2 linked regions of the Ovis aries genome follow. The protein of the gene in region 1 purifies or fractionates together with the protein of each later gene. This does not show direct contact. Links are inferred from orthologs where the notes say so. Each region holds a gene or a part of one and is shown in the gene's direction. Other genes may lie near its edges.

The links. The genes of interacting proteins can lie anywhere in the genome.
Region 2: the proteins of VTI1B (region 1) and STX12 purify together in Homo sapiens (affinity purification with mass spectrometry; 3 studies listed by BioGRID and IntAct, counting the BioPlex papers as one, with this or other methods). This does not show direct contact. The link is inferred for Ovis aries from reciprocal best matches to the Homo sapiens genes VTI1B and STX12.

The regions. Positions count from the first base shown.
Region 1 is NC_056060.1:77,604,891-77,609,849, reverse strand, and holds part of VTI1B (vesicle transport through interaction with t-SNAREs homolog 1B), read left to right. Parts: intron 1-322; coding exon 323-381; intron 382-1,998; coding exon 1,999-2,190; intron 2,191-4,329; coding exon 4,330-4,503; intron 4,504-4,959. UniProt on the Homo sapiens protein: V-SNARE that mediates vesicle transport pathways through interactions with t-SNAREs on the target membrane. These interactions are proposed to mediate aspects of the specificity of vesicle trafficking and to promote fusion of the lipid bilayers.
Region 2 is NC_056055.1:239,286,691-239,291,649, reverse strand, and holds part of STX12 (syntaxin-12), read left to right. Parts: intron 1-2,669; coding exon 2,670-2,742; intron 2,743-3,431; coding exon 3,432-3,514; intron 3,515-4,824; coding exon 4,825-4,917; 3' UTR 4,918-4,959. UniProt on the Homo sapiens protein: SNARE promoting fusion of transport vesicles with target membranes. Together with SNARE STX6, promotes movement of vesicles from endosomes to the cell membrane, and may therefore function in the endocytic recycling pathway.

The DNA.
Region 1 (4,959 bases):
AATTAGACCTGTTTTCTTTCTTAGTAGGAATGCTGTTGGTCTTTGGGGCCAGATCATTGTTACACAGGACTGTCCCTAGTTTAGGTATTCTTGTTCCCTGGCCACTTAAATGCCAGTGATAATACCATCCATCTACCCCCCCCCCCCATTAATTCTGGTAACTAGTTCTCTTACTTTTCTAAATGTCTTTCAGGGGTGATTAAGTTCTGTAGGGTACCCCCAGAAAGGAAATGGGGAATATATTCTAAGCAGAGGGTATGTTCTCTACAAATAAATGTTTGGAAGCAGGATTGAGTATTTAAAACTCATCTGTCTTTTCCAGAAGAGAAGAAGAAGTTGATCAGAGATTTCGATGAAAAGCAACAGGAAGCAAATGAAACGGTGAGAACAGGAACAAGTCCTATTTCCTCTTCCTGTCTGTTGGTCTTTGCCAGAAGTAATGCTTATGACATTATGATCACAGATTTAACTGTTCCTGTCTATTGACCTTAGTTTTGATTATTTCTTACTAAATGAGGCCAGTTGATGGGGATGGGTATTTGAGTAAAACTTGAAGATTCCTCTGTGAGTCCTTGATAAAACATTGCTGATACAATAAGGACATTCTCCTTTTACCTAGGTGGCCTTTTGAAAGCACTTTTTAAAAGCTGGCCATTAAGATAACTTACTCTCCTTTGTTAAATTTACTGTCACAGAAAATGGAGCTCAGAGGTGGTTCCTACTCACATTGCCTTGTTTTGAAAAATAGGTTTTGGTACCTTGGGCAAGGTATGCATGGTCAGGATGAGTTCTCAGTCAGGATCCTAAGCTTATCAGAAGTTGGTCCAGGTTGCTAAGCAGTTTAAGAACTGCTTCATTTAACCTGTGACTTTTCTTTAAGAAAAAAAGAAAGAAAGCAATTTTTGCTCTTACCTTTTAGAAGTAAGGATCCTCTGTCTTCATCGCATTGTGTCTAGCTTTAGCAAACCCTTTTAGGAAGCTGGAGCTAAAATCTCGATCTCTGGTAGCACTCCAAAGAAATAGTTGCCTCTAGTATCTGCTACCCCAGAGTAGACTGAAGAATTCTTTTTAAGCCAGAGAACTTTATTGTTTGTTGAAGAATACCTCCTTTATTCCAATGAAGTTTTGAGAAGTTAAGCCCATCTGCATCCTTTTTTTTCCGCTCTGCATGTATTTGAAGGAGGATCAGCCTACCAGACTATGGAAACTATCACCTTCATAATGGGAGTACCAGAAACTTTTCTAATACCTCTGCATTACTGGGCATATATCTGTGATATCTGTTACAGAGCTAGGCCTCTTTTTCAGTTAACATCTTGGTAGCATTTTCTAAAGTTAACCAGTCCTACTCTAGCCATCCAAAGCAGAAGAAAATGACTCATGGGCTCTTACAAATGATTCTATGTGTTACAATTTACTTGTCCCAGAAAAATGGAAATGATCTGGACCCCTGGTTATTCTCACATGGACACAGACAGTTGATTTTCAGGTGGAGGAAGGGAAGAACCTTGATGCCATACCCCTAATCATTTTTAGTACAGTAGGTCCCTAAGTGCTTCGTGATAGCACTTGGACCATAACAGGCTAAGAACTTGGTATACTGAAAAGAGTATGAAGATCTGGAATCCTGATTTATGTAATCTTGAACAGGTTTCTTCAAGTCTCATATATGAAGTAAAAGTATTTCCTACCGTTTTGATCTGTTGTGAGAGAATACATGTCAAAATGTTTAATAAGCTATAAGTAGCTATAAGCTACTTGTTAGTTTTCTCACTCATTCATCACATACCTTTTGAAGACCTGTTCTGTGCCTGCTGGGCACTGCACCAAGCACTCAGTAATGAAGTAAAGGTGTCACGTGTGGTCCTTCCCTTCCTGGGCCACATGTTGAGTATTTATTTAGGATTGCTTGTGGTTTGATTAGTCCAAACTAGACATATTACCCATATGAGAGAGAATAGAAGCAGGCCGTCTACTCACTGCTTTCTGCCTTCCTAGCTGGCAGAGATGGAAGAGGAACTGCGTTATGCACCCCTATCTTTTCGTAACCCTATGATGTCTAAGCTGCGAACCTACCGGAAGGACCTTGCCAAACTCCATCGGGAAGTGAGAAGTACGCCTTTGACAGCCACTCCTGGGGCCCGAGGAGACATGAAATATGGCACATACGCTGTGGAGAACGAGCATATGGTGAGTTTTAGCCATCTTTGTCCTGTGGGTCTGTGGCACAATGATTAACCAAATTGTGGAGTACAGTTCAAATACTCCACAAGTACGCCTGGTTTTTTCCCTCTTCTTTCTTGCATCCAATTTCCCTTCTCCCCTTGGGTGCCTGCTTCTACTGAATTTAATGCAGATCATTCCAAGCAATTTACCTGTTTAGATTTTTTTGTATCCTTTATGTATAAAACAGTGCTTGATGGGTAGTGGTGATAAACAAGTGTTACCTATTCATATTATACCTGGACTCTAGTCTGATTCACCAATCCAGTTTCTTTCTCACATATCCCCCCAGAGTTCAGTTAAGATTTTAACTTATCAGAGCATTGTTATTTGTATCAAGATGGCCCAATAGCCCAGATACAGTAGAGAAAGCAGGATGCTTCCCAAAAAGGGGGCTGACGCCTTACTTCATCATAATAGAAAGTGAGCCAGGCTGCCTCTCTAGCCTCCAGTGTTCTCATTTATAAAATTAGACTACTAAATTGAAAATGTATATTCTCAAACTGTCTAAAGAAGCTAGGTAGGTAAAGGAGAAAAGCTTCACAAAGGTTAAATTTCATGTGTTACATTTGGGACTATATTCCACAGCACGAAGTAGAAATGGCCTGGCTGGTAATGTGGGAGAGAAGTGGAAGGGGGCCCACTAGTGCAGACTGTATGGATGTAGAAAGGCTGATTAAACAAATCCTGTTTCATGAAGCACCCTCCTAAATATGGCTTAAGAGATATTCAAATGATAGTGGCCTGACATTCCTGATGTGAAAACTAGAGTACTTGAGAATGATGTAAAATTTTCAAAGGAGAGTGGGAAAATGCAGGCAAGTAGCGCTTGTTAAAAGTGAGATGAAAGGTGTACAGTGACTTTGGTCATCTGTGACCCAAAAAGCCCCAAAAACAAAAGGGGGGAAGATAATTCCAAGCAATAATTTTGCTTTAAAATTATTAGTTTCAGAAATTATAAAAACAATATAGGTATATAAAGTACTTTCAGTAGAATTACTGTTCCAAATCTGGGGTTGATTCATGTGACCTTACTGTCTCTCCCTGCTCTTTCTTAAGCCCACTCAGTTGAAAATCCTCATCTTTTATGTTTAAAAATGCTGTTTTCCTGCTGCTTTTAAGCCAGTGTAAACTGGGGTTCATTTCAGCCTTATTCAGTGGTTTCCTCACTCACTCGTCTGTATGCTGTATATGAAGTGAAAAAGCCTTCTTGTTGCTTCTGATCTGGAAACACATCTTTTCAGCTTCTTACTGGTGGTATCGAGTGCTAATGGTCACCTGCTCAGTAACAGGCCTTGTGAGCTGACCCCTTTTCCAGAGTTTGTACGCACGTGTGCTCTGAAGAGCTGAGGACTTAGAGCTGCCTCCATTTCTGTCAGTAGTTATTTCTGGCCTGACAAAGGCTGCTTCGGTCCTCATGCCTCCTGTGCTTAGGAATAGGTGGAATAATACTTTGGTGGAGTTTCAGAAATAGGGCGCTTACTTGGCCCCAGATACTACCTCCCCTGAGAGTAAATCACCAGTGTAACAACTTCAGTATTTGTCTTCTGTGTTTGGCCTGAGGCGAAATTCTTTGGATGCTTACCAAGAGTGTAGCTACTTTTTTCCAGAGAGGAGTAGTCTTTCACACTTTTAAGTGATTTCTGTGTGTGCTAAACACGAATAGCTTATTCTGTGGTCACTCAGTACCAATCAGTGGGAACTTTCAGTGAATTACACTATCTCTAAGGCGGTAGAGTTTAGTTGGTTTACCCTATCAAAATGATAGGATGTATGCATTTTCAGGTAGCTCCTGCATCCCAGATCTGGGCCATTGCCTCTCAGAAGTTGTTAGTCCAGGAAGCACATGAGTCAGTTCAGATTCATCAGGAGCACAAGGAAGATGCTCTGGTGTATTGAATCCTTTCCTTGCCTCACTTACATGTAACAAGCAGTGGACTGGGAGGTATTGTGATCCTAGATTGAACCCCAGGTTCTCTTGTAGTCTGATTCATTAGCATCTTTGATTGTCTTACAAGTAATGAAAATTACTACACATTATATCCCTTCTTATAAATTCATTTATAATGGAAGAAGTCTAACAATTCCCTTCCATACTCCTGTCAGAATCGGCTACAGTCTCAAAGGGCATTGCTTCTGCAAGGCACTGACAGCCTGAACCGGGCCACCCAGAGTATTGAGCGTTCTCATCGTATTGCCGCAGAGACTGACCAGATTGGCTCAGAAATCATAGAAGAGCTGGGGGAGCAACGTGACCAATTGGAACGTACCAAGAATAGAGTAAGTCTGGGTGGATAGGGAGAGGGGCAAAAATGGGGAAAGTAGGTGGGCCCATTACACCCTGATGCTGTCAGAAGCTACCACAGTTCCAAATTCAGGGTATGATTTTTTAGGTTCTTATGCTTTCTCTGTTCGTAATTTGCTTGACTAAAACATATCCCTTGGAAGTAATTTTACTTGTAAGATTTAGAGGTCATTGGGCAGGGGGAGTGAGATTGCATAAAACCCAGTTTCTGCATTTATTGAAGATTGTCAAATAGCATTGTAGCCATACCATCCTTTTATTAGGTCCTGTATTATGAACTAAATTTCTGTCTCTCACACGTCTAGTAGAACACCTGCTATTCTTATGAAAGCCAACATTTGCTTTAAAAGATTCTAGCTTTCCTGTCATTTAGAGCCAAAGCTATTTTCCACATGTCATAAAATAGTACTACCGACAATTTAAAGAGGTTT
Region 2 (4,959 bases), on another chromosome or scaffold:
GCATGCATGGCTTCCATGCCTTCTCCAGGCCTACTACACTCCCCATATCTCCATGTGTTCACTAACCAAGAAGCTCTCTGAACTTCTGGTTACATGAGCATGATTAATTAAATAATTGGCCTTTGGTGATTGATCTAACCTTGAGCCCTCCACCCCTCCCCAGAGGTTGGAATTGGGGCTGAAAGTTCCAATCAACTAAACACCAGGTTGGTTCCCCTGGCAACTAGTCCCCATCCTTAGGGGTTTTTACAAAAGCCAAGCTATTAACATACTTAGGAGTGGTTGAAAGGGTTTGTTTTGAATTAAAAAGGACATCTTTATCTCTTTTATCACTTAGAAAAAAATTTTAGGAGCTCTGTGCTCCGGTTGAGACAAAGATCAAATACATATTTCTTATTATGAATCATAATATCACATCCACGTTATAGCCAAACTGGGCTGTTTGTTCTATGTATATGGCTTCTTAAGTCCTGCCTCTTCTGCCATAGTCTTCCTTCTCTGCTTGAGGTAAATGCTATACCACTTATTAGTCATTTACCATATAATACCCTTTCTTTTAAGTGCTGCACTCAATAATGTCAGCAAATTTGGAAAACTCAGCAGTGGCCACAGGACTGGAAAAGGTCAGTTTTCATTCCAATCCCAAAGAAAGGCAATGCCAAAGAATGCTCAAACCACCGCACAATTGCACTCATCTCACATTCTAATAAAGTAATGCTCAAAACTCTCCAAGCCAGGCTTCAGCAATACGTGAACCGTGAACTTCCTGATGTTCAAGCTGGTTTTAAAAAAGGCAGAGGAACCAGAGATCAAATTGCCAACATCTGCTGGATCATTGAAAAAGCAAGAGAGTTCCAGAAAAACATCTATTTCTGCTTTATTGTGGAGAAGGCAGTGGTACCCCACTCCAGTACTCTTGTCTGGAAAATCCCATGGACGGAGGAGCCTGGTAGGCTGCAGTCCATGGGGTCACTAAGAGTCAGACACGACTGAGCGACTTCATTTTCACTTTTCACTTTCACTTTTCACTTTCACTTTTCACTTTCATGCATTGGAGAAGGAAATGGCAACCTACTCCAGTGTTCTTGCCTGGAGAATCCCAGGGACAGGGGAGCCTGGTGGGTTGCTGTCTATGGGGTCGCACAGAGTTGGACACGACTGAAGCGACTTAGCAGCAGCAGCAGCAGCAGCAGCTGTTTTATTGACTATGCCAAAGCCTTTGACTGTGTGGATCACAATAAACTGGAAAATTCTGAAAGAGATGGGAATACCAGACCACCTGACCGGCATCTTGAGAAACCTATATGCAGGTCAGGAAGCAACAGTTAGGACTGGACATGGAACAACAGACTGGTTCCAAATAGGAAAAGGAGTACGTCAAGGCTGTATATTGTCACCCCGCTTATTTAACTACTATGCAGAGTACATCATGAGAAACGCTGGGCTGGAAGAAGCACAAACTGGAATCAAGATTGCCGGGAGAAATATCAATAACCTCAGATATGCAGATGACATCACCCTTACAGCAGAAAGTGAAGAGAAACTAAAAAGCCTCTTGATGAAAGTGAAAGAGGAGAGTGAAAAAGTTGGCTTAAAGCTCAACATTCAGAAAATGAAGATCATGGCATCCGGTCCCATCACTTCATGGGAAATAGATAGGGAAACAGTGGAAATAGTGTCAGACTTTATTTTGGGGGGCTCCAAAATCACTGCAGATGGTGACTGCAGCCATGAAATTAAAAGACGCTTACTCCTTGGAAGAAAAGTTATGACCAACCTAGACAGCATATTCAAAAGCAGAGACATTACTTTACCAACTAAGGTCCATCTAGTCAAGACTGTGTTTTTTCCAGTAGTCATGTATGGATGTGAGTTGGACTGTGAAGAAGGCTGAGCACCGAAGAATTGATGCTTTTGAACTGTGGTGTTGGAGAAGACTCTTGAGAGTCCCTTGGACTGCAAGGAGATCCAACCAGTCCATTCTGAAGGAGATCAGCCCTGGGATTTCTTTGGAAGGAATGATGCTAAAGCTGAAGCTCCAGTACTTTGGCCACCTCATGAGAAGAGTTGACTCATTGGAAAAGACTCTGATGCTGGGAGGGATTGGGGGCAGGGGGAGAAGGGGACGACAGAGGATGAGATGGCTAGATGGCATCACAGACTCAATGGACGTGAGTCTGAGTGAACTCCGGGAGTTGGTGATGGACAGGGAGGCCTGGTGTGCTGCGATTCATGGGGTCGCAAAGAGTCAGACACGACTGAGCAACTGAACTGAAATGAACTGAACTGAAGAACTTTTTATCTAGTACTTCTGAAAATGCTATGAGATGGGTACTGTCATTGTCCACATTTTAGTAGGGAGGTCCAAAGAAGTTCTCAATTTAAGGTTGAACAAGACTGTGAAGGGTTAACAGTCCTCTGTAACTGATAGGCTCCAAGAGACTGTGCTTCTAATTACCTACCAGCATAGTACTCTGCATACAGAAGTCACTTAGTAAGTGTTAATAATTAACTTTATTTTCATTTTCTGTTTATAGAGAAAGCATGATTTATAAGCTTTAAAAACACATGTGTTATGTTAATAGCCAGAACTTTAGGTAAGTAGAGGAAATGAATCTTCCAACATGTTACTTAATATTGGTTAATTTTTTTGTGTGTATGTTCCTTAGGCTGATATTTTGGATGTCAATCAGATATTTAAAGATTTGGCCATGATGATCCATGACCAAGGTGATATCATTGGTATGTATTATTGATACCTTTAACATAAAGGTGAGTGGATAGTTTTTGTATGCAAAGAAGTCGGTAAGCTGTGTCTTAGGAATCTAGGAATACCATTTAAAAATCACTAAATTCATTTTCTTAGCAATTTTCTTACCTTGTCAAATGTGGAAATTAAACTGAGGCTTCCATGAATAGCCCATTCACTTGCCGTAGCCTCATGTTAAGTCTTTGGCTGTTTAGGGAAATTGCTGTCAGCTTCTCAGTTTTTATCTCCAGAAACTTGCACAACTATGGGATTTGAAACCCTTTTTTAAAAAAACTTTTTATTTGGAAATAATTTCAAGTTCACAAAAAGTTGCAAAAATGAAAATAACAAGGAACTCCTTTATAAGCTTTACTTAGATTTACTTCTTGTTAACATTCTACCCCATTTGCTTTTTATTTGCACTGTTTTTATTTACCTGATTTTTTTCTGAACTGTTGTGGATGATTTACATACTTCATAACCCTCTACCTCTAAATAATTCTTTGGTGTTTATTTCCAAAGAAGAGGGCTGTTCTCTTATGGGGTTGGTAACTTTTGATCTCATGGCTGGATAGTTGGAGTGATGATGGTGAACAGGACCCTTAGCATCAGAATGCTCTTCAGTTTGCAGTCTTGAAACATCCGACTGTGGTAAAACATCCTCTGCCCTTCTCTTTTGCAGACAGCATAGAAGCCAACGTGGAAAGCTCAGAGGTGCATGTAGAAAGAGCCACTGACCAGCTACAGCGAGCTGCTTACTATCAGGTAAAAGCAGGTACAAAAGAAAGTCACTCTGCTGTAGACTCTAGGGGCCATGAGAGTCACTGACACATGGAGAACAGCTGCAGCCGTCTGTTTGGTCTTAAGCTGGAGGCAGGCAGTCGTAATTGCCATCCCAGCCCCATTTTTAGTATTTTCCTTTGCAGAGAGATCTACAAAAAAGGCATCAAACTTTGAATAAACTGACATAAAAGCCTCTTAGCTACAAAGCTATCCCGATAAGCTAGCATGATACCTAATTTGGGGTAAGGCTAATTTTCTAACCTAAACAGATGAAATTTGTTTCAGTTAGGATAGTAATAGGTACAAAGTAGGACTTTGCAGATAATTTATGTTGACTGTTGCCACAGAAAATGGACAGAGGCTCAACTTGGACTGCTGTTTATGTATGAATTAGTTGGCTTATCATATGAGGGTTATTTTGCTGTGAACAAATAGGGGTTAATTGTTCTACTTTCTGTAAAGTGGTATTTTTCTACATATTATTTGAAACTCTGATTTTACGAACTTTATCCGGGTCTTCACCTCAGTTTACACATGTTGTGAATGAGGTCCTTCTCATTTCTCCTCAACCTGGTATTGCATGGGTTTTTAGAAACAAATAGCATTTAGTCATTTACCATGTTCCTAAGATAATTGTACTTCCCCTGGGACTGTTCTTAAAGAAATTGTATTTAACAGTAGTTTCCTTTTAAAAAGTGAGTGATGACTTTAATATCCAACAGTAAAGAACAGTCAAGTAAATTATCTACATCCACTTCATGTTATTTTATGTGGGAATTAAAAGATGTTTATGAAGAGTTTATAATATCACAAATTTTATTCTAAAATATTGAGTGAGAAAACCATCAGACATGATACAGTATGGTTCCAATTTTGTCAGATAAATCTGCCTGGATAAAAGATCAGAAGAAAATACAATTAAAATGTCAGCTGTCTTATCTGTGGGTGATTATTTTCTCTTCTGCTTGTCTGTATTTTTTACAGTGAACATAAAATTTTATAATAGGTATAAAACCTTTATTCAAATATACATGTACAAATAACTTATTTTATGGCAAATAACACCTTGCAACATAAACAGTTCCTTTGCAAAACTGTATTTGGGAGCATTGAATGAGGACTTGCACTGCTGTCTAGCACTGGTACCTTGAGATTTTTGAGAAGGTGTCTGCATAGTCATACACAGTTTAATTTTGCATTACCAGGAGCCCGACTGATGAAGCACTCCTGGAGTTTTATAAACATTTTTTACTTGTTTCATGAGTGTCTTCTTTACATATTTCTCTCCTCAGAAAAAATCTCGCAAGAAGATCTGTATCCTGGTGCTTGTCCTGTCAGTGATTATTGTAATCTTGGGATTTATTTTGTGGCTAGTTAATAAATGAAGTGATTGCCTCCAGCCTTCTCCCGCTGAGCTGTTTTCAAGG